Struthio camelus: one gene and its partners. The protein of the gene in region 3 interacts with the protein of the main gene of each other region in a pairwise test. Links are inferred from orthologs where the notes say so. Each region holds a gene or a part of one and is shown on either strand. Other genes may lie near its edges. The genes, in order: DUSP1, SUPT20H and MAPK14.

Region 1 (7,587 bases), on a different chromosome or scaffold from region 3:
AGGCAGAGCGTGCGCTCAGAGCGGGAACCGTGCACAGAGATTCTCCTATGCAGGGCGATGATGAAGGGGCTTTTATTATTCCACAGTTACGTACCCATCCCCTGGCTGTGTCCTCAGTCAAAATACCTGAGCTGCTACACCAACCGTTTTGGGCTCAGCACGGGGCAGTTGTGCAGCAGACGTGGCGCGCGGCGCTCAGGTCAGCCTAGGTTTTCAGCCTCCCTCTCCAGGAGTGAGACCCGACTCCAGAGCCTCCTTCCCCGCTGCCGGGACTGGCCTCCTAATTTACCGACCTTATCACCCCTGGCATTAAGGATATGGGGCAGTTCAAACTCAGACCCTGGCAAAAGGGTTCAGCCTGAGGATTTAAGGATGGAAAAAATAGTGTTTTCACTGTAGTACTAACTCATCAGTAATTTTTTATTGTTCATATTCTGCTTGTTGTATCCTTTCACTGCTGGAGCCTTTTCTTTCTCTCTTTTCTTCTTCTCTTTCTTTTGCTTTCTCTTTCTCCCCTTGTTTTTTTCTCTCCTCTCTTTCTTTCTTCCTCTCTTTCCTTTTCTTCCTTCCTTCCACCCTTCTGTCCTTTTCCTCTTTCTTTCCTTTCCTTCCTTTTTCCTTTTTTTTTTTTTTTGTGAATGTGGGTGTCTCTGTACAATCTGTCCAAATATTTACAAAAGGAAATGCTGGGTTGTGAAACTGAATTCGGAGAAAATGTTACACATGCTGAAGAAATGCATCCAGCACAGTTTCCAAATTTTCCCACATGCATTTTTGTTCTCTGTCTCAAGTCTCAAGGCTTGATCTTGCATATCTTTATTCAGGCAAAACACACGCTGAGGGCAGAGAGGCACAGGCTCGGGTCATCTCCGACGGCGCTGTAATCCAGAGTTTTCTGGAACGTTTCAGGACTGATTTTGGCCATGGGTGACCAGTTCCAAAGCCTGAATAACCAGTTTTACTGGGTAATCAGTTTGTGCAATGGGCCAATTGCAGGCACGGAGTTATCTAACCTTGTCCCCAAGTTGTTAATGAATTGGCCTCAGTGCCAGTCCACGCAGAGGCCGTCTGCAGATCTCCAGCGTCTTCACAGCTAAACATCAGCCAGGCTGGACTGGGAGACCTGCAGGCTCCGAGAAAAGCTCTGAGGGCTCCTGTCCCACTGAGACTGAGAGAAAACACTCAACAATGACCTTATGGAAAGGGGGTGAAGTCGTTTTCCCAGGAAGCGGGAAAATCCTGTGGAGCTCTCATGGCATTATAGGCTTGTGAATACTCTGGCAGAGCAAGGGGGGAGCTGCAGCCCCCCAGGCCAGCCCTAAAGGGGCCGGGACCCCAGCAGCAGGTCCCCACCTGCTAAAATAAAAGCCTCGCCTCCCACCTCCACACCCAGGGCGCAGCACTTCATGCTGCTGTTTCTATTATTATTCGTACAATGACATTGTGGCCTGAATGCAAACACGGATTTGTTTTGGAGGAAGGGGTTAATTTTGTATTTCCTGGCTTTTGTTAACATAGGAAATCAAACCCTTAAGAAAGTCGTTCAGGTCAGCCTGAGCTCCTGTAAGTCACTCTAGTTTTGTGTTGTGTTTTCCTTTCTTTCATTTTTATAGCACCTTAGTCAAACAAAGAAGGAAAATAGAGTAAAGCAAGGAAATAACTAGTCCAGCATTATAAGCGCTTAAGAACACACTGCCCCATGTAATGATTTTTTTTTCTTTCTGATTTGCAGCGGGTGTAAATAAAACCAGATTAAAGAGTCTCATAATTACATGACAAACCTATCAAAGAGCAATTACTGCCATCGCGTACGTTGCGGGTGCAGGCTCCCCTCCCCTAAAGGCATCATCTGAACGTCTTCCCTGCGCGGCCTCAGAACAGCCAAGGTATCTTGCCCTTATTTAACGTTTGTATAATGTTAGTTGGCAACACAACTGGAAAGGTTGTTCTTATCAGGAGCGCTTTCTCAGTTAGCCATGCAGATGGCGGATACGGCACTTACTTTAATCTTGGGGAAAGCTGAAGCTGCCAAACGGGGAAAAAATACGCCTCTTAGTTTTGTTTTGTGTGGGACACCAAGAAGAAGTTGGGACAACAGGAGAGAACATTGTCAGCCGCTCACAGTCACTTGTGCCTGTGAGCCAGGCTGGCTCTCTGCCGACAGGGAACGGGGGCTCAGCACCGTTGGAAATAGTGTCTTCCCATTAAGGCATTCAAGGGAAGTCGTCCAACCCGCGCTCCTGGTGCTGGAGCGCGCAGGCCTTCGGGCTTGCGGCAGGAGCTCAGCACCCTGGTGACACCCGTCGCTGGAGGACGGTGCCTCTCCCAGCTCGCCAAGGCCTCGCGGCTGCAGCCGGGCGCCGTTCCTCACCTCCCCGAAGCTGCCGCGGGGCCACGACCGCTCCCGCCTCGCTCTGTAGCGGAGCAAGGTGAAGCGAAGCCTCCGTGTGAGTTTACAGAGAGGTCACAGTCTGATGTCAACCTAGGGGAATCCTCTCTAGGAGAAGGTGACGAATAAAGCCCAGTGTAGTGGTCCTCTGCCGTACGGGACGCTGCGGCAGAGAGTTGGCCGTCAGTCGACCGCGGCTAATTCCTCCTGCTCGGTGGCCCGGAAGGAGAGCGCTGGAGGCTGCTGTTCGGACATCGCCTGGGAGGTGGCCAGAGCTCGGCCGTGAGCCCTCGCTGCCGAGCAGGCGGCCGCGCGGCGGAGCGCCGTCATTTCCCAGCACCGAGGCGTACGAACGTTTCTCTCGCAGCCTGTTTCTAACTCGCTGGTCGAAGAACAGCAATAAACAAGGCAAAAGAAAAGCGCAATCCGCGCTTTGTTTTTAAGGACCGCGTTGGAAGAACAGATTCGCCGTGAGGCTGCAGTTGCGGCGCAGAAGCCGGAGCTCAGCGGAACGGAGGCAGCTCTGCGGTGACGGCGCGAGCCGGAGGGGCCGCGCGCCCGCCGACGCCGTCCCCCGCGCGGCCCTCTCTCCCCCCGCCCCGGGACCGCCTGCAGCCCGCCGCCGCCTGCCCGTGGCTTCAGTTGCTCGACGGGCTGAGCAGACGGAGATGCCGCCTTGGAAAGCAGCAGCCCGGGGAGGGAAGCGAGAGCAGGGACCGGCTGGCAAGGGCGAGGGAAGAGAAACGCGGCCGGGCCAAGCGCTCGGGGCAGAAGGAGGGATGGCTGCGGCAGGGCTGGGGCGGGACGCGCTGGGAGCGCGCCGGTGGGAGCGGGGCGCCCGAGGGACGGGGCCGGCAGGCCGGGGTAGGAGCCGGCAAGGAGACGGGGAAGTGAAAGCAGCAGTGACTGGAAGCCCTGAGTAAGAAACACCCGAGTGCTGGTGGAAGCTGATCGCCCACGGGGAAAAGAAAACTTTTCCCAAACTTGTACTACTTCATTGCCAGTTACTTGGTAGCTCTAATTTCTGGGGAAGTTTTCTGTACGGAAATCCAACTTTGTGCAGGCTGTAGGTCTATTACATATCTTTTCCTCACACAAAACATGATGGGAACTGTTCTCAAATATATGCTTATAATACAAATATATATGCAAATATAATATATTTATATGCATCTATTTATGTGTATTTATCTGCCTGTACATGTCTGTACGGGTATGTATGAATATAAATACATGGATGGGTAAGCTCGTCTCTTTGTGAGCATGTTTGACGAGAATAAACACGAACACACGCCTCCCTAGAGCATCCGCTCACACTGGTGCTGCCCCAGGGTCCTTCCCACACCCTCAGCAACACTGGTCATGGCAGAGGACGGACGGGGACCACCACTGGCTGGGAGGGGACAAAGGAGCCCAGCCCCCACCCTGCCCTGGGAGCCCGTGGGCACCGGGCTGCGTGTCTGTGGGGGTGGGGGGGAGCGGGGTGTGTGTTTAAGTGTATTTGTACGTGCATTTACGTTCTGGGGTAGTACATGTCTCTGTATGTGACTACGCATGTGCATGTATGCGTGTATATATGCATGTGTGCATATGCATATATGTATGGGTGCACATGTGCGTATGCATATATGCGTATGTATATGTGTGTATGTTTATATGCATGTGCATATACATGTGTGTGTGCAGGTCTGTGTATATATGCACGTATCTAGGTGCGTATGTATGTTATGTGTGAGTAGGTACATGCATGTGTATGTATGTGTGTTTCACATATGTGTGTATGCATGCGTGTGTAAATACATGTGTGCGGGGGCAGGCATGTGTATGTACATACAGGTGTGTCTGTAGGTCTGTGTGTGAGTGTGGATACGTGTGTGCCTGTAGGTATGTGTATGTGTAGGGGTGTATGTGTATGACTGTGTGCAGGTACACGTGTAGAGTGTATGTATGTATGTGTGTATCCGTGGGGGGGGTGAGTGCATGCAAGCGTGTGTGCGTGTCTGTGTCTGTGTGTGTCTGTGTGCCGGTCCCTCTGTGTGTATGTCCCTCTGTGCGAGTCCGTCTGCCGCCGGGTCCGTGTGGCTGAGCGCGCGGGCGGGCGCGCGCGCGCGCCGCGCTCCGGCCGGCCCCGCAGCACATGACGTCATCGCCGGCCGGGCTGGGCGCGCCGCGGCTGGCGCGCCGCCAGGTGACGTCTTCGCGGAGCGCTCACGTGACGCGGCCCCATTGAGAAAACGGCGGCGGCGCGGCGGCGCGCCGCGATATAAGGCGGGCGCGGGCGTACGGGGCCGGGCTGCTGCCGGGACGCGACACCGACACCGACACCGACCCCAGTGCCGACCGGCCGCCCGCCACCCGGGGTCGCCTCCCTTTCTTTTCCTTTGCTTCCCTGCGCGCTGCCGCGGGCCATGGTGAACCTGCGGGCGAGCGCCCTGGAGTGCGAGGCGCTGCGGGGGCTGCTGCAGGAGCGCGCCGCGCAGTGCCTCGTCCTCGACTGCCGCTCCTTCTTCTCCTTCAACGCCTCGCACATCCTGGGCTCCTGCAACGTCCGCCTCAGCACCATCGTCCGCCGCCGCGCCAAGGGCGCCGTGGGGCTGGAACACGTCGTGCCCAACGAGGAGCTGCGCGCCCGCCTGCGCCAGGGGCTCTTCCACACCGTGGTGCTGCTGGACGAGCGCAGCGCCGACCTGGAGCTGCCCAAGCGCGACAGCACCCTGATGCTGGCCCTCAGCGCCCTGTGCCGGGAGGCCCGCGGCGCCCGCATCTGCTTCCTCAAGGGTGAGTCTCCCCGCCGACCCCCGACGCCGCCGGCTGCCCCGCCGCGGCCGCCCCGGCCCCCCGCGGGCCTCGGGAGCGCCGGGGCCCCGCGGCGCTCACCGCGGCCTCTCTCCGCCCGCTCTTGCAGGGGGGTACGAAGCCTTCTCGTCCGCCTGCTCCGAGCTGTGCACCAAGCCGGCCGCCCCGACGGGCCTCAGCCTGCCTCTGAACGCCGCCAGCGCGCCCGGCAGCGCCGACTCGGGCTGCAGCTCCTGCGGCACCCCGCTCTACGACCAGGTGAGGGGCTCTGGGCGACGAGGGTGGGGGGGGGGTCGGGGTGGGCTGCCTTAAGATCACAGCGAGACTAACTGCTTCTCTGTCCCTTCTGTTTCAGGGTGGGCCCGTGGAAATCCTGCCGTTTCTCTACTTGGGCAGCGCGTACCATGCCTCCCGCAAAGACATGCTGGATGCTTTGGGGATCACAGCGTTAATCAACGTCTCTGCTAACTGCCCCAACCATTTTGAAGGGCACTACCAGTACAAAAGCATCCCGGTGGAGGACAACCACAAGGCAGATATTAGCTCCTGGTTTAATGAGGCGATTGATTTCATAGGTAAATGAGCTCTTTACAGCCTGCTTTTTTTTTTTTTCCCCCAGGGATAATGTATCCCAATTGTTGGGAAGCAACCCCAGTGCTCCCCTGCCATCCTCCCCCAGCCCAGGCTACATCTTGCTACATTGTATCCCGGGGGATTTCATTCCATAGAGGAGATATACTTAGGGAACATTCCCATTAATTTTATTCTACTAGGGGTGGAATAATCCTGGCTTTAAAAAGCTGCTTGAAGTACTGAATCAAGAGGCATAGGTCTTACAGAAAAGAGCTAGCGAATTTAAGCGGATAAGTCTTAAAGTAATCTTGCAAGAGCAGTAAAGTGACCCGGAGGAGCTATTAGGATAATCGGAGTTGGAGTTCAGAATGAAAATAGCTAGACTGCTGTTTGCTTCGGGACAAAGGCTCCCTTTGTCTCCGAAGCACCCTGCACACCTATTAGGCTAAGGGAGGGATGGACTAAAATGTGAAACAGTAGCCTGTGCTTTCCCACCTTTGGAAGCAGTGGGGCTTGTTTGCTAACTGTGTGTTTTTAATTCTTTCAGACTCTGTTAAAAATGATGGTGGAAGGGTATTTGTGCACTGCCAGGCTGGCATTTCCCGGTCAGCAACCATCTGCCTTGCTTATCTCATGAGGACCAACAGAGTCAAACTAGATGAAGCCTTTGAGTTTGTGAAGCAGAGAAGAAGCATCATCTCCCCAAACTTCAGCTTCATGGGACAGCTGCTTCAGTTTGAGTCCCAGGTCCTTGCCCCGAACTGCTCAGCAGAAGCTGGCAGCCCTGCTATGTCTGCTGTATTGGACAGAGGAGCATCAACCACAACCGTCTTTAACTTTCCAGTCTCCATCCCTGTTCACACATCGTCCAGTGCTTTAAGCTACCTTCAGAGCCCCATCACCACTTCTCCAAGCTGCTGAAAGGCAGGTGAAAACATGATCAGAACTCTGACTTCTATTGTCTCAGAAGTGCAATAACTATGGGGACAGTGTCATCGGTCACTTGCATTTTTTGGGGGGAATCCATCCATCCCAGAGCGCTGCTGTGAGCGGACAGGAGCTCGCCTGACTCCAGAGAACTAGGTGTTACCAACTTTTTTGTTGATATTTTAAGCCAATATCTGGATGTCTACGTAGAGATCAAAAAACATTGTCTTTTCCTGAGCTGTTCCTTGTCTTCTGTCTGTTCTAAGCCTGCTCCCTGTTTAGTAGCATACATACCAGTATTCCCGTTCCTGGACACTTCAAGCAACACTGATGCTGTCCCCTGTAATATGACAGTCCTCCTATTTATTTATTTTTACATTAATGCATTTTTTGCCTTCACAAACCTAAGGCTTCATTTCTAGAGAAACAAAATACCTCAGTATTTTTTTGGTACTGTAATCCTGTATATATCTGTCAACTCTTCTAGTTTCCCAAGCACTGACATGAAAGCACCAGGCGAGTGCTTTTTTGAGTTGCCAAGGGTTGTATGTTTGCTGATTATTTATGATGTGAAATAATATATTTCTTCTTATGAAGACATAGTTTTGTTACATGATTACAACTTTTTATACAAACAGAATAAATTATGATATTTCTATTGAGCTGCATATGTCTTTCAAAATTTCACTGTCTCAAAACTCCACTTGGGTGTTCCCAGATGAGCTGTAAGAAGTCTGAATTTAGGACTCTGCTGCTGAGCTTGCTGACTTCAGGCAATGCAATTAGACAGTGTCCTGACTGAGCAAGATGGAAAATGGTTTTAAAGACAAAATACTTGACCAGAAACTAGCTTTTCTTCCTGAGCTGAGATCTCCTGTGATCTAGGAGAAGGCTGTGACTTG
Region 2 (7,714 bases), on a different chromosome or scaffold from region 3:
GCTGGTTTTTCATATGGCACAGTTCCACAATTCAATTAGCTATGCAGTTGTACCTGCTGTCCTACTGACACAAAATAGGTGAGAGCAAGTCTTTTAGTTTTTCTTGTAAGATACTAAGAACTGAAGTATTGCAGGAGAATGCTTAGGGCTTGATTCAGCTCCAGGTAAATTAATGAGAAGCAATGCATTAACTTCAATGGCAGATGGACAAAGTCCTAAGGAATACACATGTGATCATCTCTAACAAAAGTAAAAAAAAGATGTCACTTAATAACTAATATATAATCCTGACAACCAGAACTTTTTAAATAGGCTGTGCTACTGAAATGGTATAGAGAAACATTTTGGAGAATCTTCCACTCCCTAGTAATGCTTAGAAACTCTTGAACAGGTATTTCTCCTTACATATATCTTTCTGTTTCTTCAGTTTACATCCATCCCTCTCAGCTCTTCATAAAAGAAAATACCTTTATTCAAACCTCAAAGAGCAGGCCTATGAGCTACCTCCAGTATAGATTACGCATGTTATTTCATACTTTAGAACAGAATTCAGGGGAGAGAAGCATACTAAACAAAAAAGGAAGAAATATACAGGAAAATACTTACATAGGCTTATAATCTTTCACCCACAGTATTTCTACTAAAGAATTTCTTACCTGTTCTTGAGAGAAAAAGCATACACTGATAGCGTGCTATTATTCATTAGAACCTAATACTACAGAACGTTTACATTTTGAAGTGTTTAGGTGTTTATATGAATATATCAAACATTTACGTGTTCTGTATAAGCATACAGGATAATCCCATGATTTCAAATATTCTATTCACTGATTGCTTGACATTAGGGAAAAATCCACAGCCATATCGCCTGTGAACAGAAGAATACTAAAAACATAAGTGCAGGTAGGGTTTATACTTCATGATTAATTGTCTAATACCAGCCACGACTGAAAACACACCACTAGCTTTACATGGTGATTCCTATAATGCACTGGACAATAACTAAGTCTTTAGGAGTAGAACACGCAAGCTACAAAGGAAGACATCACTGAAAAAAGGAATGATGGAAACTCAGGAGTGCTAAGTAAAATCAAATACCTAAGCTGATGATGAATATTAATAAGCTTTTCCCTCCTCATCATCCACACAGCTAGAAGAGCAGAGAAAAAGAGATCTGAAAATATATTATTTGAATCATAACTTACCATTGTCGTTGAAGCCAGGTGACCAAACGGCAAATGGAATATTTAAGATGTTTCGTACAGCAGACAACGAATCATTTTTTTTTTTGGTCACACTTGGGGTACCGAAAAGTAAAGAAAAAAATATATATATATCACTAAGAAACTAAATAAGCATTTTAGTTATTTACATTCAACATTTCTAATTGTTAATCACATTTAAATCTCATTTGCATAGTAGCCTTCATCCAAAAGTAGAAATAAAGGTTCCATTCAGTGTAAGAGCAGAAGTTGTTATTCTAATGACTACTACGACTTTGCACAATCATTTTACATCAGAGATATTAATTAATAAAGTAATAATAAGCACATAATAGAAATCATATAGCCACGTACAATCATCTATTGTCGCAGTCTACCTAAACACCCCAAGCTTCATGTCCAGAGATGCACAGAAGGCTAGAGTATGCAACTGCAAGCGACCAGAATATTTAACATACTCTATTACTTTTTTGTCTTGCTTTTATGAAAACATTATTCCGTAGACAACAGCCTCACCAGCAGTGCCTCTAGCATTACTTTGCGATGTGAGCTTAATACTGACTCACTGCATACTGTCAACTGCAACGCAAATTAAATTTTCATAGCACAAGTACATTTCTGAGATGTTCTCGCACACTATGTCCCTTTATTGTTTCATTTTTAAACTCAGCTTGATACTTGTATTAAACAAAATGGGCTTAAATAAAAATCTTTCTAATGCCATCTACTTGTCACTAATTACATAGTTTCTTCTTAGCATTTTTCCCAGCAGAGACGCGAAAACTAAAGTCAACCTCACTTCAAAATTTGAGCATTGCCATGTCTAGCACTACTTGAAACCGTCATTTAAAAATTTCCACAAAACATCATTTTAATTTGTGAAAACATTTCTGGGGCATCTGCATTTCACATCAGCCTTGGTGCGGGCAAAAGTTACACAGCTTCCTAGGCCTCTGATGACATATTTGTCTGCTCCCTAAAACCTCCCAGAACCTTCTTACTTAGTAGTTTCAGCCCAGCACCAGTTTCCACAGAAGACATACACAGAAGGCAAATGACTCAAAGCTCCCCGTAAGACCGAAACCCGCTGGCTTTGGCGGGCGGCAAGGCAGCGGGCCAAGAGAAGCCTGCGCGGGGCGACCCGCCGGACGTCCCCCGCCCTGTCGCACAGACCAGCTGCTTTCCCGAGCAGCCTCTCCCCGGCTCCTCCGGCGCTGCCCTGGCTCACGCTAAAGCCGACACGGGCACCGAGAAGAGGGAGACCGAAAGAGCACCTCGCCCGCCGGCCAGCGAGATGGCGGGTGCGAGCACCGACACGGAGGGAGGGTCCGATCCGGCGAGGCGGCCGCGGGGCCAACGGCACCTCCGCGCCCGCCGGCGCTGCCGCCTTCTCCGCAGAGACGGGCCTACCTGCGAGGGCGGAGAGCGAGCGGATGGAGCCACCGACCGCAGCAGCCAGCCGGGAGGGCCGGGCCGGGCCGGGCCGGGCCGGGCCAGGAGGCCGCGCTGGGCCGAGGCGGAGGGGGCGGGTCGGACCCAGCTCCCGCAGCCCGGCCCGGCCCGGCCCGGCCCGCGAGGGCGCGAGGGCGCAGGGGCCGCCGCTGCCGCCCAACGGCCGCCCGCCCCCGCGCGGCAGTGGGGGAGGGGGAGTGGAAGGCACGTGACGCCAAGGGCCGTTACCTGCGGCCTCACGTGGGGTCCTGCCCCCCGCGCTGCTGCCCCCGCCGCCCGCTCATCCGCCCCCGCCTCGGCCCACGGCGGCGCCCCCCGCCGCTTCCGCCCCGCCGCTTCCGAGGCGCCAGCGGAAGGGGCGGGGCGGTCGCCATGGGGACGAGGGGGCGGGGCGGGCGCGGCGTCGCTATAGAGACGGAAGCGGCCGGCAGGCGCAGGCGAGGTGGCTGGGCCTTCTGGAAAACACTCGGTTCAAGGCTTGAAAGTACTTAAGTGCCTAATTTCCCTGGCTTTATGTGGTAGTAGGGTACCTCTACAGGCATCGTGCAGTTGTAAAGACTGGAGCAGATTTCGTTTCCTTACAGGAATGCCGAAAGGGTATTTGAGGATTTTTATTGTGTGCTTTTGGGGCAGCCACGAGTCGCTGAAACCACTGGCTCCAATACCAGGGAGTGACAGTTGGTGGTGGAAGGACAGCAAATGGAGGATTAAAAGAGTGATAATTCTGGAAAGATACGGTGGGCAAACGGCTAGGGAATCTTTGTTTAACGCTACCTCAGTTTCTTTCAGAAAGGAGGTGCCGCTGTGTGTATGCGTTAGGTCTCCCCCAAGCCTTTCTGCAGCAAAATCTGCTGGCCCTTTTCATCTTAATAGGTCTCTGAGATCCCTTAAAGTTTTGTAAAAATGGATGCAAGAGAGGGAGGTGGACAATTTTATACCTGTGCTGCTAATAACCCCACCCTTTATAAAATTCAGAAAAGCCATAGGAGGTACCCTTGGAAAGAGTTGGGTTTCTCAGAATCACAGATAATTTTGCATATTCTCTAAATGTATTGTTTCTTTATGCCTCTTTTCCCCTTACCAGAAACATATGTTCTGTCTTGTACACAGATGGAACAAATGGTGAGCATATGATCAACTTTGTACAATGATTATAATGATAAAGAGTATTGTAATTAGGTTTTGAACACTTACTGTTGTTTATTATAAGCCTATTGTAGTCATTCTACTTTATTTTATTTTGCTTGGCATATATTAGTTGTATGTATTGTTCTGGAAGTTAGTTCTTTCACTGCAGATTGTCACTGGAACTAACTAGCAAGCAATCACACGTATGACTACAGTCTGAGATCGTTAAAACTATAACAGTTTTAAAGCATCTCTGTAAATAAAAAATATATATTTCTTCATAATTCTATAAAAATATGTAGCAAATATGTTTTCATTCCTGTTAGCGTTAAAACCTGGGGAATCTGTTTCATGTGCAACACTAAAATTCTCTTATTCCATGAGACCACTGCAGAAGCAAACTAGCTTGAAAAGCTACATTTTGGCCTGAAAGTACTTGCTCCACGCTATCTGTATGTTGTTAAATTTAAAGGAACAAGTGAGCACAACTCATGACTGAATCTCATCAAAATTCATAGGTTCTTTATGCATTAAAATAATGGTATCTTTCAAGTCTAAAAACATGATTTTTTTAAGGCCCAAATACTTTAGCATCTTCAGCTTCAATTTTATTTTTAGTATATGCTACAGTTTTTAATCAGGGTAGGGTTCTATTTAGAACCCATAGCTCTTCGGATTCTCAATGTTCTGATCCTTCTAGAAAGTTTTCAGGATTTGTGATGATGGTTTTGGGGAAACGAAGACTGGTACTGGAGAAACAAATCCTGGAATACGTTTCTGGCATTTAGTATATTTGCTTAAAGTAGGAGTTTTTACATTTAGAGACTTTTTTTTAAAAAAAAAAAAAAAATCAGTGATTAACTGGAACACTGAACATCTTTTCCTGGTCATTTAGCTGTTCATTGTGCCAGGTGAACATTTTCACCACCCTCTTCCATTCGGAAACATTCTAAGTATCAGGCTGGGGTAATTTGGAATATGAACTTTGAGATTCCTGAGTAGTCACCTCCCAATTGACTGCCCCGTACTGGGCTTCGTGGTGAAGCTTACCCTCTCCCATTATTCATGCTTTTGGAAATCTTCGCGTAAAATGTCTTACAGCAAGTCAAATTTTTTTGATTGTAGTTAGCTTAAGCCAATTGTCTGGTGTTCTCTCTGTGCTCCCTTAAATCCGTATGGAAAAGTTTGAAGATTTTGGAACAGGTATTTAAACAAGTCTGTAGGTATGGAACTGATTTGGGAACCTACGGACTTTTCCAGTGAGAAAACTGGAAAATCAGTCCTGGGAGTTGGTAACCATCTATACTGCCTGACAGTTGTTCCAACTGTCCTTCAACTTGTTTACATTCTCACTTTCTCCTTTTTGGACCATATGTCCTTTAAAAAGCCAGCTTTTAAAACTCCTTGATTGCCTATTTCATTCCTTCTACATATCTATTTGAAGATGGATGCTGTCCAAGTAATTATGCTGTGAGTCATCTTGTGGCTTACTGACTAAATTTCTTTGAAATTTGTGCCACCAGATGATGAGTTTTTCTTCTGCAGAACAGGGAATGTTGATAATAAATAATTGGAGCAGTTTTCACCCATTCCTTCCGTGCTATAATTCATCTCTTTTTTTTATTCCTTTTCTCTGGAACCTGTTAATTTCAGGTGACTCCAACTCTCTAGGTATGTCTTCCTTGTTACTGTAGATTGTTCCTGAGAAGAGCTATAATACCATAGTTCAAGCTGGATCATTTCAAATGCATGCATATTGCGGGCCCATGTTTCCCTCTGGCTTTGCTCTGCTGTGTTTGTGCTATACAGGGAAGGCATTGGAGAAAACAGGCATCCTACATTTCCCTTTCTGCAAGCCCTCTTAGCATTGATTTTCTGCATTGTCATCACATCTGCAAGATTCCACCACCTTCTGTACTAGTGGCCCCTCAGCATTCCCACCAGCCAGGCACAAATTCAAATTAGCTGCATACATGAGAGGCAACAGCTGAGTTTTAAAAATAGAGTTTCTGGACTTCTCATGTTTGACGTTTTCAGTTTCTGAAAAGTGTGGATAGGATTCTCCTTTAGATTCAGACCCTGCAATTTGGGGTTTAAGCCCTTCTTTATGACCATTATACGTGTTGAATTTCACCTGCTAGTTTAATGCTCAGTCACTCTGTGCTGTGAGTTCATTTTTACTACTCTGAAAAATCTAGTACAGTATTTTGCCACCTTGCTTACTCCTCTCTTTTGATTTTTGTTTACTCCTAAAGTCTATGTTAAGACAGTCTCTAAATCCAGCCTTGAGTCTTATGCAGCCCTCTGTAGAGGGGCCCTAGCAAATGCGACTTACAATCTTGTCAGCTCCTCTTAGGTTCTAGTCAACACAGCAACAAGAATTGTATCATCCAAATTAACAAGAGTTATTGTCCAGGCATAACATAGTCTCCCAAGCTCCTCCTTATAACAGCATCTCCCTTTCAGACCTCAATAAGAAGTGTAACTTCCTTCTGTTTTGAGTCTAGTACCCTGCCTCATGTAACAGATAAGATGAACTGATTAGGCTCCATCTACCCCATGCTTCTACAGGACAGTTTAGTTTATTACGTAAAGGATTCTGCAGTGGAGAGCCATCACTTAGACTGACTGTCGCTGAATCTGAAAAGACAATCCAGGTTTGTTGATCACCACTTTTGAGTTCTCATATCTAAACAGATAAGAGTTTTCTCTTCAGGTGCATCCTTTCCTCATCCCTTCAGTTATAGTGTGGTGTGGCTCTTCGGCCTTGGATTTCAAAAATGGATTTTGTTCTGTATTACTGACAAAACTTGACATCAGTGCTTACTTCTTTCGGCATTGTTTCTTCACTGCATTTGGCTTTAAAATCAAATGATCCTATGCTCACAGCCACACAGAAAGAACAAGGAATAACTGTGCTGCTCCAAGGGTGTATTGCAGGATGAACTGTGATGTATTTGCAATGCCTCTTTTGCTTCCTCCTGAGGCTGAGGGAAAGTTAGTCTATTCATTTGAAAAGGTACACTCCTGCACATGCAACCTCAAGTACAGTAATAGGACAAGGAGTTCAAACTCTGACAGTTTCCTTTCTTACCTACCTGTTATCCTGATTGGATAAAGCCCTGAACTGCCTGGTCTGAGCCCGCAGTTGACGCTTTTAGCAGAAGGTTGGATAAGAGACATCCTGGGGTCCCTTCCAACCTGAGTTGTCCTATGAGCCTGTGATTTTTACAGAAAAGATTAAGAGCAGCTGCTGCAAAGCCTGCTATCCCCCTTGATGTCTTGGTTTATAAACCACATAGGTTACAAGGAAGAGTGAGTTTAGGTGTCGGTATAAGATTAGTCAAGGACTGACTCTGAATATGAAATTTCTATGATTTTTCAAAATTTCTTGGATAGGAACCAGCTTTTAGTATGTATGTTTCACTTTGCTGACTGTATACGGCAGTAAAAATATAAAACAGCCATGCAAAAATTGAAAGACCAAAGTATTGTAATGGGATTTTTTTTTTAGCTTTAAATATTTCAGTGTAGATTAGAAGTCAGTCTCATTGCTAATCTATCTAAATTACATTATTCTTTAATATTAACAAGCCTTCATTCATAATAGCTATCTGTCTATAAACAGATTTACTTGATTGGTGTATTTGATGCATTCATGAAAACAGAGTGTCAGAGTTCTGTAGCCATAGTGATAACACTTATCCCAGTAGAAAATTGCAAAGCTGTTTTCCATTTCCCTGTGCTGTTTCACAATGAAATGGTATGCAGGCATATGAATCAGATTTATGTGCTCAGGCCGATACAATGATTCAAGTACTATCCCCCTCATTTGAGTAGAGATGAAAAAAGAAATGACAGCATTGCTCATCAGTAGAAAGCTCTTTGTTCAAGTCAGACAGACTGTGGGC
Region 3 (7,584 bases):
CTCTGAGAAGTATCCGAGTTGTCTGTTTGAACATCCTTCTTCCAAGACTGCACACAACACTTCAGAAAATATTGGAATATTTGCTCTGACTTTAAGCATGTGACTTGGGTGCCTTAAGTTGCCTGAAGAAAACGCCCCTCTCTCTCGCTCTCCACTGACTTCAAAATAAAGTCAGGTTCTTATCTACAGGTGCTCTAAGCCATACTTAAACTAAACATTTAAAGTAGCTTACAGCAGACAGCGCCGTAGTCTAAATGATTTATTTCCTGGCTCTATTATTTATTTATTAACTTTTTCCCCCTACTCTCCAGAAATTTCTCACTTTTAACTCTTTCACCTTGGTAGGTAAATAAACAACAGAACATCCTATTATATTCTAACACAATAACGCAGTAGACATCCCGGGACGTATGTTTAACCATCCAGTTTAGGGGTGGCTAAAACGCTGCAATTTACTATCCCAGCATACATGTGCTCCCAACAAAAAGTCTCAAATGAAACTAGATAACTTTTTCCTGGAAAAGGAGGGGGAAGAGGAAGAAAGAGAAAAATCTCTAAAAGGACAGAGAATGCAACAAGGCGTCTTAGGAATATCATAAATATCATGCATCACCATTTGCAGTTTAACAATATTACAGATAAAAGAAAATTATATATGCCATTTTTATTTTAATCCGGACATACTTTCTATATTACTAGCCTTTCCAAACCGCATCTTTTCTGAAATATGTATTTTTAGGAGAAAAACATCAACATGGACAGTATTAAGACTCAATGTGCCACATGTCTGAAATTGCTTCCAATGAAAAATTGTTTCATCTGGCCTGCATGCAGTTGCACAATCTTTGAAAGTTTTGACACAACAAAACAGGAAATTCATGATGCAAACTCTTCAGTTATTGGTTGTGAAAACAAACATTGGAAGTATTACAAGCACAATGGAGATTGTGGGGAGGGGGAAAAGACAAAAGGAAGGGGTTAGATTGTGTTGGGTAAACCTTAAAAATACAATGGACAAGGCATTCAGCAAATTAACTTCCTATTATTTTTCCGTGAGTAATGAAACTCTGAGCAGTTAAAGGGGTATCTATCAACTAGGGCAGTCAGGCCCTTCTTCAACAGAACTAAATCTTTCTACTATAAAAAACTCAGTGAGTACGTTCAGTTAATCTTGCTACTAGAATGGTTTAACCTTTGCCTTTTATGAAATGTGTTTAAACCCTTGGGGAATAACAATTTTAAGAATACGCGTTATTTAAACAGAACTTACTGGCAATTTTATAAACCATTGTTATCTTAAACTTACTATATTAAAAACAGCACAGAATTCTATTTCTTTAAAACCGCAGCACATGCAAAACAACTCTTTATTAGTACAGTTCAGTATGCATGCCTCTTTATGGTATTCATAATATGATACATAAATGATATTGATATCAATTTGTACATTATGTTAAAGAAAAAATATGCATGTCTGCTCAAATACAGCAGCAAAGCATTACGCGCCCGCATTAGAAAATTCTGATCATAGTTTGATGGAGCAAAAGAACAGAGAGTAGAAAGTAGAATATTCATATTAGAGAAATTTCTTAATAAAAGGACACAGTAATTTATGAATACTTTTATATGACTCCATTATACAATTGCTAAAGTCTAGGTGTCAAACTGATTCAAGTTTATTTTCTTTAAGTGATGAATGCAGCCCAATTAACTTAGGTTTAATGGGCCAACATCCTTTAGTAGAGGAACTACAAATGAAGGGAGCGTTGTTGTATTTAGCATGTGTAACCTGTCATACATTTTGTTTGTAGTAGGTAAGCATTAAAAACTAAACTCTCTTCACTTCCAAATTCTCCACGTTTCTGCAAGCCTGATACTAGGACTTTGCTCTTCCAGGCAGCGCATATTGCAGTAATTCTGTCATTTTACAGCAAGAGAACAAGTTTTCCCGCATTGATCTACCATCACCAGGAAAATAACACTGATAATCATAAACCTGCTGTTACAAGTCGGGGATGCAAAAATAGCCCTTATAGCCCTCCTGCCATCATCTCTGCCGACCAGCAGATCTCAGTTAAAAATGCAATTGCCTTATAGATGATCTATCCTTCCAGTCCAGCAAAAAAAAAAAAAAAAAAAATGGAACAAGAGCTGCCAGGCCCTCAGCTCTGCAAAGCCAGCTATCAGGGACTTACCAGCCTCCATCCTTTTCCACCCCCTACCTAGTAACTGGAAGAAGGCACGGTGAAAAATGTCTATATGAGATCATGCTGGGGTGGGGGGTGCTGGGACATGATTATCTCCCCCTGCAAAAATGTTTTAGTGCCACCTGCCATGTGGTGCAATCCGACGCATTCCAAAGACAAGACAGTGCCTCCCCAGCAGTATCGCTATGAAACCACGGAGAAGAGTGTTTCTTGGCGGAGGCTGAGCCGAGCCGGGGGAGAAGGACCCCCAAGCAAACCCCCTCCGCTGGGCTTGCTTTCGCCGACGAGCGCCCTGCACGCGTTATTGCCGCGGGTCCCTACGAGCCGGGGCAGGTCTGCCAGCGGGGAGCCGGCACGGCAGAGCCCCGCGGCGGCACGGCAGCCCTCCTCGCCCTCACGCGGCGCCGCAGCACGACGGGGCAGGGGCCCAAGCACCGGCCTGACGCGTCCCCCTCTGCACACCCACGCTCTGCCCCCTCCCGGGACTCACCAGACGGAACCGTAGGCCCCGGAGCCGACCGGGGAGAGGTTCTGGTAGCGCTCGGGCACCTCCCAGACCGTCTTGTTCAGCTCCTGTCGGTAAAACTTGGGCCGCTCCTGAGACATCTCGGCTCCGGAGCCCGCCCCGCCCGGCCCGGCGGGAGGGGGAGGCTCTGCCCGCGGTTGCAGCAGCAGCACTACCACCGCCGCCGCCACCTCCAGCAGCAGCAGCGGCTTCTTCCTTCCTTCTTCCCTCTCCCCGCCTCGCTTCTCCAGCGGGCGGAGGCAGCCGTGCAGCAGCAACGCCCTCTCCTCCGCCGCCGCCGTCCCCTCACGCCGCCGACCGTTGGCCGCCGCCGCCCCGCCCGCCCGCGCGCGCCCCCTCGCCTCGCGCCGCTGCTGCCCCCTCCCGCCCGACGGGGGGGGGGGGGGGGCGAGAGGCCTCGCGCGGGCGGTTCACCGACCCCCCCCCCCCCAACCACCGCGCTGAGGGGGAAGGAGCGGGCGCGCGCGCCGAGCTGACGGGCGGGGAAGGCGGCGGCGGCGGCGGCGGAGGGAGGGGAGGGGCGCTCGCGCCCGGGCGTTGGGAGCCGCCGCGCGCCCACCTGGTGCCCTCGCCCCGTCCTCGCCTCGCCCTGCTCTGCCGCCCGGCTGCCTCGCCGCCCGCCCCGCGCCGCCAGCGGCGGGATAGCCCCGTGAGGTGAGGCGGGCCGCGGCGGGGCTCGTCCCGCCGGCAGCCAGCGGGGCGCAGGGCCAACAGACGGGGCGGTGGTGGCGGTGTGTGGGGGGGGGGGGAGAAGGACACGCCCGTCGCAGGTAGGACGGTGACGGCGACACCACGGCGACTGCCCCCACCCCCTGCCTGGCCGCCCGCTCCGCCCCGCGCAGCGCAGCACAGCCCCGGCTGCGCTGAGGCGACCGCCGCCCCCCTCCCCGGCACGCTGGGGCCCAATCGCTCGGCACGGCCGCTCTCGCGAGAGCTGGGGGCGCCCAGGGCAGAGATGACCCAATATGGAACCAGCGCGGGGGTCTTCTCGCGAGAGCGGGAGGGGGGCGGGGCCTGGCGGAGGGCGCCGGTGACGTCGAGGGGGCGGGGCGGGGGCGGTGTGCTGGGGGGGGCCTGGGTGCCCCCCCGGCTCCGCCCCCCACAGCACCGGGCTGGCCGGGCCCGAGGCCCCGGATAACCCTTGGCCGCTGCCAAAAAGCTAAAATTCCACGAGTGCTGCCCCTGCTTCGCGTTTTCATGAGCACACCCCCCCTTCGCTCTTTGCTGCCCAGTTGCCCTTAGGGCGTGCTTGAAATAGAAAGAAAAGGAAAATCGATGAATAAACTTACTTCCCGCAGCATTTCTGCAGGCCCTGATTAACATGGCAGGGTCGCTGGGGAGTAAGCGCCCATCGAGACCTTTCTGGAGCTGCCCATAGGTCTGGTGCTTCTGGAGTCCTGCAAGCCAGTCTTGGTTGCCTTGTAGTCCCCGCAAGTGCACTTTGTCCCCTTCTAGGGGCTTTACACCAGCAGTAATGGGGAGAACAAAGCCATCTCTGTCTAGATTTCCCAGTTCTGTATTCGTATAGAGAATTTTCTGAGTACTGTAATATTGCCTTACGCTATCAAAGATGGGTGCGTGCCTACTTTCAAGCGTGCGCCTAAGACATTGAAATCACTAGGTGCTGCAGGCTAAGCATGTTTTGAAGTGGAGCCCATCGTGTTTTCACCAGGTTGTAAGTACAGAATTGCACAGCAAATAAAAGAGTGTTAGGGATTTGAGTATAAGGCCCTTTGCCGTTGGATCTCAAGCTTGAGGAAGATGAGTTTTGTTCGCAATACTGTGCGAGACAGGCACGTTCTGCCTGGAACTTGCTTTTAAAACGGCGGCTTCCCATGTCAAAAACCTTCTTGTTCTCTACACAGCCTAACAAAATGGGACCCTGTCCTCTGCCTCTATGAGTCACCGTTGAAGTCCAAATAACAGGAGTGAACAAGAGCTGAACTTGACCACTGCTTGTGTCTAAAAGGTAACTTACTTTGTGGCATGCTGGGCTTTTTAATGCCTTTCATCGGCAGACTCTAGCCTCTTGTTGGTTTTGCTGCTTGTGTTATTTTATCTTGAAAAGGTGCTTGTGCTCAAAGATGTCAAAAATAGGTAAGGCTTTAAAAACTTGTACTGGGTCTGAAGATCAAACGAACACAAATGGCTCTTAAATCTATCTGTGGAAGACCTAGATTTATCTTCTCTGTAAGAAGAGGGAGGAACTGTGCCCTAATGATGGAGTGTGTTTGAGACTCTCCTACCACCAGCTCTTTCTGGGGTTTAGAATGACTGGGGTGTGTGTACACGTCTGTGGCTGTGTCTCACAAGACAGGAAAGTCAGTGTCAAGAGTCCCTGTTGCTGTATGAGAAGTAGCATGGCTCAGTGATGCAAACCGCTAGGCCTGTACACTGATCCTGGCAGTTCAGGAAATGAAATAAGAAGAGGAAACTTTAATCCCAATGCATTTTTTTTGTTACAAGTTCTGCTACAGTTGGACTACATTCTGAATAGAGTCCTACTGCTAACTCACAGCCTTTTAATATTTCCTCTTTCCCTATATGTTACTATGTGTCATCACCCTGCTTTTTGTGTAATCTCTGTACTTTCACTTGGAAATTCTGGATTTGAATCTTTTTTTTGCCTCGGCTGTCTGTATAAGATCTTTGCCTCAGATCCTGTCTTGCAGTGGACCTTTGCTTACTCGGTATTCCCTTAGGGAGCTCACGTCTTACCTACGCTGAGTGACAGAGATTGAACTCAAATCTCCTTCCTGGTATTAAAATACTAAGGAATAGGAGTCAGACATTCTGAGGATTATAAAACCTGAACTGTATCAAATATAGATTTTACACAGCGTTTATATGCTGCAACTCAGATTTAGCTGCTCCCTGTATGATTCAAATCTAGATCTTTTTCCTCCAGGGCTAGAAACGAGGAGATTTAGAACTGGTTCCCCAGCTGCAGTTGGGTTGCGGAGGGGGACGGGATCCAGTTTTCTAAACACAGGCCTGATTTTGGGATCACAAAATGGAGGGGATCCAGGCTGGTCCTTCCCACAGAGTTGGAACAAGCCCGGTTCCAGAAGGACCCAGTATTGCTGAGAGTGATTTGGCGATTGATTTATCTGATCCTAAGAGCAGCAGGTCCTTCATGGATTTCAGTCTCCAAAGCCTTGCTTATCCCTGCGTTGACTATTGGTTCCACAGGAGTTATGCTGGGATGGGCTGATCACATATTATGCTTTTTATTGTTTTGGTTTTTAAGCGAGACTTCAGTCAATGACCCTGTTTCTTTCCTTTAGCCCTAGTGCCAAGAACAAGCTCTTTGATTTTGGCTTCCAGCATTTGCTGTTCCTCCGGTTTTGACTGTCCATGATCAGAAGGACTATATGGAGCTAGACGATGATATCGTTAGGGCAGATAGACAACCAACAGTATACAGGGTCCAAAGAGAAATACAAACTGAGGAGCACTTCCAGACCTACTTTGAAAGAAACCTCTCCTCTACCTTGTGTGGAGAAATACAAATTCCTCGAGTCCACCGACGGCTCCAATGCAGGTGAGTTATATGCAGGGAATTTGGTAGATGCGAAGAAACTAAGGAGACTCTTCAAGCCCAAGTGCAATAAAAGGCGCTAACTTTCCACTGCTGGCAATTAAAATGCTGAAGTGTGTTGATTGATAACTGAAGCAGAACACCCAGTTCTGGCAACTCACACCTGAAGCATGAGAGATCAGCTTAGCACTGCACTATGAAAGCGGCTATTTGCAGTCTGCAAAAGTTTCTGTTCACTTGAGGACTCTGATAGCACGAGGGATAGATGCACTGTAGAGAGAAACTGCCAATAGTTTCGGTCCCCTCCAGCGCTTCCCTTTGCCCAGCTGCAATACGCAAGCTTGCATCTGCTTTCTCTGGTTTGTGTTTTTTGCTACTTTTGTTTCTTACATTTCAAGACCCATTTTCTGTTCCTTCTTAGTTGGGAACATGGATAGTTGCATAATGGTAAGACTGAGATTGACTGAAGTGCTTTTCCTTTATTTTGGAGCTGTGTTCCTGTGTTCTTTGAGAATAATGGGGTGAGGCAAGCGCACCGATATAGCACTAATGCTTCAGCAGCCTGGTTTTCCCATTCTGGGACATTATCTGCCAAGATTCTCTTTTGGGCATTGTACTGGGGTTAGAAGCAGCTCTTCTTCCAGAGGAGCCCTGCAGGCTGCAGGCACGCCAGAAGGCAGTCTCATTTGGCAGCATATGAGAATTCCTGATGTTCTTCCAGCAAGGCAGATATAATCAAAAATAGGAAGCTCTTTCATCAGTTTCCCTTTCAGTTTTGTTTAATTGTGAATACTCTGTTTTCTTTCTTTGGATCCTGAGTGGACTGGCAATGGTTATGGCTGTGTCTACTCTGCACAGTCCTCATAAGAAAGCAAATACAAAATCTCTGATTCGTCATTTATCCGAGCTTTCTTTCAGCAGTTCACAAGAACTAAAATGTATACTGAAACATAAAGCGTTTTTCTGGGTCTGTGGCAGGACTTGAGACCAAGGCTAGCCATGGGTGAGCTTCCACAAGATGTGGTGAGCTTGCTGCAACAGCTTGCTGCAGCCAGAAGGGACAGGACCGCGCAGGGAAAGACAGGGAGTCAGACCTCCCTCCTTCTGTATAGCTAGCTCTTGTTATCAGCTCAGCTATGTGTGGAACTGCAGCCTAAAACTGTGGATTGTGTTTTACTTATGCTACTGTGAAGTAATTTTCTGGTGGTAAGTGGCAAATGAAATCACAATTTGAGTTGCTACTGTGTTTTCTAGTTTTTCATTCATCTTCAAGACTTGTCATCAAGATTAATCTCTGTGAAAATGAGATC

What was found.
Region 1: the proteins of MAPK14 (region 3) and DUSP1 interact in binary tests that used the Homo sapiens proteins (3 or more experiments, as listed by UniProt). The link is inferred for Struthio camelus from reciprocal best matches to the Homo sapiens genes MAPK14 and DUSP1.
Region 2: the proteins of MAPK14 (region 3) and SUPT20H interact in binary tests that used the Homo sapiens proteins (3 or more experiments, as listed by UniProt). The link is inferred for Struthio camelus from reciprocal best matches to the Homo sapiens genes MAPK14 and SUPT20H.

What each region holds. Positions count from the first base shown.
Region 1 is NC_090954.1:8,458,544-8,466,130, reverse strand, and holds DUSP1 (dual specificity protein phosphatase 1), read left to right. Parts: upstream 1-4,534; 5' UTR 4,535-4,797; coding exon 4,798-5,167; intron 5,168-5,294; coding exon 5,295-5,443; intron 5,444-5,540; coding exon 5,541-5,760; intron 5,761-6,305; coding exon 6,306-6,679; 3' UTR 6,680-7,347; downstream 7,348-7,587. UniProt on the Homo sapiens protein: Dual specificity phosphatase that dephosphorylates MAP kinase MAPK1/ERK2 on both 'Thr-183' and 'Tyr-185', regulating its activity during the meiotic cell cycle.
Region 2 is NC_090942.1:196,232,344-196,240,057, reverse strand, and holds the start of SUPT20H (transcription factor SPT20 homolog), read right to left. Parts: upstream 3,024-7,714; 5' UTR 2,904-3,023; intron 2,771-2,903; exon of another isoform or gene 2,634-2,770; intron 1,298-2,633; 5' UTR 1,209-1,297; coding exon 1,206-1,208; intron 1-1,205. UniProt on the Homo sapiens protein: Required for MAP kinase p38 (MAPK11, MAPK12, MAPK13 and/or MAPK14) activation during gastrulation.
Region 3 is NC_090965.1:4,986,602-4,994,185, forward strand, and holds the start of MAPK14 (mitogen-activated protein kinase 14), read right to left. Parts: upstream 3,058-7,584; 5' UTR 2,814-3,057; coding exon 2,698-2,813; intron 1-2,697. Other genes in the region: SLC26A8 (testis anion transporter 1), read left to right, coding at 6,108-6,277. UniProt on the Homo sapiens protein: Serine/threonine kinase which acts as an essential component of the MAP kinase signal transduction pathway.